2 linked regions of the Tribolium castaneum genome follow. The protein of the gene in region 2 purifies or fractionates together with the protein of the main gene of each other region. This does not show direct contact. Links are inferred from orthologs where the notes say so. Each region holds a gene or a part of one and is shown on either strand. Other genes may lie near its edges.

Region 1 (4,115 bases), on a different chromosome or scaffold from region 2:
TTTTGCTACAGTACAAATGACGGAAACATTGTTAGGAAACAAATAAAGTCTTTGCATAAAACACAACTTTATTATTTAACATTTACCTAATCACTTCTTCTCCTCTACTGGAACCTCCTCGGCAGTGGGGGGCGCATTCCTGAAGTTGGGGAACTGCTCCCAGGGGGCCGACAGCTCAAACTTCCTGAACTCCTGAGCCAACTCGAGCGGTTCAACCACCACGCGCTTTTTCTCATCGTCGTACCTCACCTACAAAATATGTAACAAAAAAATTGTTAAAAAGTAAATCAAAAGAGAACATTTTTGCTTTGGAAGCGGTTAGTGTTATGAAGTATAAAATCTGTAAGCTGTGAGCAATAGTTATATTCGTTTTTTTTATATAAACAATTGTCAATGTCAAAATCAAGTTGTATGGCGTTAATTAAAGAAATTTATTAACAAGGTGTATTGCTTTTATAAAAAAAAGATAATATTTACATTATAATTGAGTATAAAATTGACATTTAAATTTGTTGGTCAAAGTTGCCAAATTATTGTTTCATATTTGTTGCCAACCTGACGACAAGAATCTCCCGGTACTACATTGTTCAACAAGTGACGAAAGTAACATTTTGTAAAATACTAAACAAATATCTTGCTTTGACTTAAAAATCACAAAATACAGGCAGCGCAGTTTCCGAATATGAATTTACGCGATGCCAGCCCTCCATTTCATGAATTTTTGTATGAAATATTGGAGCCGCCTTGATGATCTCTTGATTAAAATTTTGCTAACAGTACGGTTTAGTTGTAACAAACATTCTTCTTTTACACAGAAATCCAATGTTTCTGAGATATTTCACCTCAAAAATGCAGTTGCGTCGTTGCTCATACGGCGTACAATATACACAAGGTTTCTTTATCAATTTTTGTCGAAATAAGTCCGCACAGATTTTATCAACTTAACTTCTTACCTCTAGTACAAATTCGCAAGATTTGAATCACTTTTTAAATCAGAAATCATCACAACACTACGAACACCACAAACCGACATGACTTAATAATGACAGGTATAGCCACAGCAGGCAACTAGATACAGGTGAATTTATTTAAAAAAAGAAAAGAGGGGAATGTTAACGTTATGAGATTTTTCGTAATTTGACTCCATTCTCATGCTTTAATAGGCTTATTAACGAACGCAACGGTATTATTTGAACATTTTACAAAAAAATTTAAGTTGGCAGGAACAAATTCGCTACCGTATTTTTGGCAATTTTATGTAATTCAGGGCACGTCCATGCAAGATTACCTTCATTATCATCCATATTCGTGTTTTTCTGCAGAATTTGGATGATAAAATAAAAATTCTACTTCAATTTTCTACTTTCCAAATTAAGAAATTACCAACCGTCACAAAAATCCCTAAATCGATTAAAATTTTAAAAAAATGTTAAAAAACGACAAAAACAATAAGTGTTACTGAAAAAATAAAATATCAGGCGTTCATTTAAAAAAAAACTTGCAGCATGCGAAAGTCGTAGAACAATTTTTATCATTGTATTGTTGGTTGCCTACTAAACCAGCTCACCAGAATTTATAAACTAAAGTTGATAAATAGTGTTCAAAGGCGATGTGTTATGTGTGTTGAACAACAAGGAAGGCATTTCCAACAGACTTTATAAATAATAAATAAATATTTTTATGAAAATTTGTTCTTTTTAGTTGTCAAAGTACTCTAAAGTTTTTTTTAATGAACACATGGCCATGAAGTACTCTCATAGGAGTATAGAATGATTCTTATAAGTTGTTCCGACTTCATACTTCAATTTAAGGGCCCAGATTATTTATAAATGTTAGTAACAAATGGTAAATATGTATAAGTGCGTATGGAAAATTGCAACTTGAAACTTTCAGACGTTAATATCCTCATTCCTCTGAGAGAGGGGCTTGTTTGCTTATTTTAAGTTACATAATTATGTCACGAAAGTTACGTGTGTATGCAAAATATCAGCTCGTTCGGATAGCGGCAAATATAAAGCAAACGACAAACCAAGTCTTAAAAAATTATAAACCAATCACCTCGACATAGCCGCTCAAGGGGAAGTCCTTCCTGAACGGATGCCCCTCGAACCCGTAATCGGTGAGAATCCGCCTCAAATCGGGGTGATTTGCGAAAAACACCCCATACATGTCCCAAATCTCGCGCTCGTACCAGTTGGCCCCCTTGTAGATATCGCAGGCGGAGTCAAGCGGCGTCAACTCGTCAGTGTACGTCTTGACTCTAATCCGGGAGTTGAAGCGCAAAGACAGGAGGTTGTAAATCACCTCAAAGCGGTACTCGCGACTCGGGACATCCATGCCTGCGATATCCGTTATGTTGGCAAACTGGGCATTGTGATGGTCTTTGAGGAACTGCAGCACAGGGAGCACCCCCTCGGGGACTATCAACAGCTCGAGCTCGTCGCCAGCAGTGATTTGCACCTTCTGGATGTACTTTGGAAGGCATTCAGCGCAGTATTTTCCAAAGTCTTTCAGCTGGGAGCGGGCCAAAAGGTCCGGCTTTCTGACCGTATCTAAATTAAATCAACGATTGAATTCAGACTTTTATTGCACTATTTGTAACTTACGGCGTGTCTCTTCTGCAGGGGCTGCTTCCGAATGTTTGAATCTGATAGCGGTGGCACAGACTGGAAAAAATAAGTAAAAAAATGCTACGAGAAAATTTGTAGATTTTACCCCCATTGCGGGCCACGGGTGACCGCAAGGTCCTTGTGAATTGTCTCAAAAGGGAAGCCATCAAATTTTTATTTATTTGTTACCTAATAACACCCCTAACCTCACACCGCTAGTGACATTTCAGCCCGTTATGTTGGCGAAGCATTGCCCTTGTAAATTTTTTTCAAAAAATACTAAAAAATAAGGCCTTTAACTTGCTTTCGCAATTATACGATATATTGTCTTTGGTTAAGTTAAATAATACAAATTTGTTTGAAAGAAATAATCCTTTACCGCTGTAAAATCTAGAAAAACAAGCGGCCATCTTATCTTGAACGCAATGTCAATTTTGTAAATTAAATTATTAAGTAAAAACAGCCTTTATTTCCCCAATTGACACCAATTACAGACTGTACCCAAGACTCTTGACCCATTTGAGCCCCTTGTTGGTGTCCTCAAGTGGTTTGTACTCCAACCCGACCCAGTCATTGTACCCCAAAGACTTCAAGGTTTCCAACACATAAACATAGTTTAATTCGCCTGGAGTATCAGGCTCGTTTCTATTAGGCACTTGTGCGATTTGCACATGCCCGATATACCCCCCTAAATCCTTGATACTATTGGTAATATTCCCCCTGATGTGTTGCAAATGAAAAACATCCAACATGATTCTCAAATTCGGACTGTTGATCTTTTTCACCACACTCAAAGCTGAAAAAACGTTTTAAAACTCTAAACTTGGCTTAAAAGCGTCCCCAAACCTCTGTCGTAACAATTGAGGTAATAATTGGGGACCGAATATTTATTAATTGGCTCAATCAACCCAATTATATTCTCCTGCTCCAACAACTTGGTTGCATATTTTAAATTGGTTTCGTAAACCGAATGATTGGCGTCAGTCACATCGGCGACTTTCCCGGCCATGATGTGGATTTTGGAAGCCCCCAGGCTTTTCGCATAAGTGATGGTTTTCTGAATGCTGTCTTTAAATTCCTGTTCTTTGCCGGGAATTGCCGCAAAACCGAGTTCGCCCTTCGTTACATCGCCGGTGTACGTGTTAATGAGGACTTGTTGGATGTTAGCGCCGTTTTTTGCATCAACGACTTGCTTTTCCGTGAAACCAAAAGGAAAGCCGGTCTCAACGGCCCGAAAACCGGCCTCTTTGGCCAAGCGGTAGCGCTCCAAGAAGGGCTGCTCCGTGAACATGAAGGACAAATTGGCACAGAACTTCATCATAACTAAAAAAAATTAGTGAAATCATTGCTGAAATAACTAACAACTTACACAAATACCTCGAATTATTATTTTTCAATTATAAAAGTACTTTTTGTCGAGTTTTGGGTCAGAATGGAACTACAGTGTTCCCAAAATGATAAAGCTGCGTTTACACAAAGAGATAACGCAAACCGCAACAACAAACG
Region 2 (2,446 bases):
AATACAAATGAGTACAATATGCGATAATTACCTTAGTGATGCGCTAGATTCACTTTTCGCCTAAATTCTTTATTTTTTTAATGAAAATTTTACACCAGGTAATACAGAGATATAACTGCTCCCTGTGGTGCACCTCAAGTTCTTCGTGTTTGTGCTCGAGTCAAAAACGATGAAAACTCGGAAATAATCGCCTAGGTGGTTTTCGGTTTTTGGGGTTAATCGGGTGTGCAATTCACTAACATGAAGCAATGTGGCATGTAAACCATTCAGGTGTTCATGTCGGTAATTTTTGAGGTTCTGTGAAGTGAAATGTGGCCAGATTACATTTGGACCACTAATACTAATGCCTTTTTGCTTTAAAAATCTTCTGCACTGACAGAAGTGGTGACAGCACTTAACCTCAGAAGTCTTAGAACTGTCAGAATTGTTTTACTTTATAGTGGCTCCCTCTCAGAAACAAAAAAAGGCCAGGGAACTAAGCAATGCGGCCAGCCGTGTGAAGGGAAAGTCCCTTCTTTAATCAAGGAAGCTGTGACTGTGATCTTCAGTTAAAGCACAATAAAGTACCAGCTTTGATCAAAGTGGCCTGTGGCCCATTGTTGCCACCTTGATTTCAAAGTCGGGCCATTTTGATCAGAAAACAACAAAATATTAACAATAATTTATTTGAAATTAAAATCACATTGATCTAACACGACTATTTCCATTCAATCCTCTAGTATTTGGGCGCGGGCGACTCCAGTTTGGAGTAATCAATGTTGGGGGAGTAGAACTAAAAATTACACATTAGATCAGTTTTACAATTGTTGCAAATACCTTATATTGCTTGTTTCTAAATTCCTCGTTGGAGATATCACCGCTGCGGTTCCACTGGACGTCGGGGTTGCGGAGGGCAAGTCGGGCAGTGTACCCAATAGCCCCCAGGCAGCCCAAGCCGACGCACACATACAGAGGGATCAACTGAGACAAACAACTTGGAAAAGAGGTTATTTATCGCGTAAAATGCTTACAGCTTTGTGCTTTTTGAGGCTCTGAAGTGACATTCCCTGCATGGTTACCTAATTGTTGGAAAACTTGCAACAAATAAACTCTTCACTTCACTGTCAATGGCAAAAGTGTCAAAATATACGCAGTACTTCCCTCAATCGATGAATAATTTTGGTTACACAAGAGCGAAAGTGAGAAAAACAGCAAATCGCGTCACAATACGCCAGAAAAGGATGCCACTAGACTACGCGTCAAAACTATAGAATAGTTCTGGACTTTAGTATTTTTGTGCAATAGACGGACGTTATGTAATAATTTTTTAAAAAGTAGCTTCAGAGCTAGCCTTTGTAGCATAAATAACTGGGCGAATTTAAAGGAACTGGAAGTAAATCCGGGGCACAGGAGCAGTGTTGTAGTTTTGGGTATGAAAGCAGTTGTGCGATCTGTAGCTAGTAGCGAGGGAATTTTAAATACAGTCAAATGCAAATTTTGCTACAACTTAGGAAAAAATGTGCTCAAAATGTTACAAAATGCTTTCAAGTGGTCTGAAAGTTAGCAAAATCAAAATTCTTTCGTTCGGCCTAAATATTTATTTGGGTTGGCAGCATTGGCGGAAGGTTGGTTGCATAAACCCTCGAAACAGCCATGGGAGAAGAAAATATTGATTAAAATTCAGTTGTGTAGGTGAATGTTGTGTGGTAGGTCGTTTTCTCATTTAGTTAACCTAACCTAAAACGTTTTATTTTGCTTTTAAATAAAATATTAATGTTTGCTATTACTTACAAATATGTGATTGTTGTGTGTTTCGGTTAAGTTTTATTGTCATTCGTGTTGTTCTAACCCTTTTGCTGTAAAAACTCCAAATAACAAGAAACTACAAAAATGATATGCAGTAGGACACCCCGAGAGTTCTTTTCTGCTGATGTAAGTATAAACTTTTTTGTCTTATTCTGAATGAAACCACGTGTTTTCCGTGGAGTTTAATTTATTTTATTCGAAAATGTGCGTTATTTTGACGAGAAGTACCGGCGTTTGGTTTTTAATTTAATTCAGTCAGGGGCCCCAATTGAAAATCAGCGAAAAATTAATAAAATCCTGTTTCTTTGAAGATTGTTAAATGTTATTTTTGTAACAATCAATTTGTTACGGTTTAAAGCACATGAAACAACATCAAACAAAACTAATTAATTTCCAGATTTGGAACCAGTCAAGCGATATAAAAATGTCTATTGATTTATTCAAAAGAGGTGGAAGACATTCACCTTTTTGGAATGTGGGAAATAATCGATTTTTCCTTCCAAGCGCGCTGTACTTGCTGTTGAATACGACTTTTATTACATCCTGATAACAAATAAACAACCTTCTTCTCATTAGTATCAATAGCTTCCGTCTATTTTTAGAAAGTTACTTCATAAGAATTATAGGTGCCGTAATATATCATTAAAAATTAGCAACAATT

Evidence for each region. Proteins that work in one complex are often made in the same cells at the same time.
Region 1: the proteins of ND-MLRQ (region 2) and ND-30 fractionate together in Homo sapiens (co-fractionation; 3 studies listed by BioGRID and IntAct, with this or other methods). This does not show direct contact. The link is inferred for Tribolium castaneum from reciprocal best matches to the Homo sapiens genes COXFA4 and NDUFS3.

The regions. Positions count from the first base shown.
Region 1 is NC_087394.1:27,328,479-27,332,593, reverse strand, and holds ND-30 (NADH dehydrogenase [ubiquinone] iron-sulfur protein 3, mitochondrial), read right to left. Parts: upstream 2,877-4,115; 5' UTR 2,777-2,876; coding exon 2,716-2,776; intron 2,667-2,715; coding exon 2,607-2,666; intron 2,553-2,606; coding exon 2,059-2,552; intron 250-2,058; coding exon 91-249; 3' UTR 51-90; downstream 1-50. Other genes in the region: Gip (putative hydroxypyruvate isomerase), read right to left, coding at 3,098-3,405, 3,456-3,930.
Region 2 is NC_087398.1:10,562,819-10,565,264, forward strand, and holds ND-MLRQ (cytochrome c oxidase subunit NDUFA4), read right to left. Parts: upstream 1,172-2,446; 5' UTR 1,053-1,171; coding exon 1,011-1,052; intron 961-1,010; coding exon 817-960; intron 773-816; coding exon 716-772; 3' UTR 650-715; downstream 1-649. UniProt on the Homo sapiens protein: Component of the cytochrome c oxidase, the last enzyme in the mitochondrial electron transport chain which drives oxidative phosphorylation.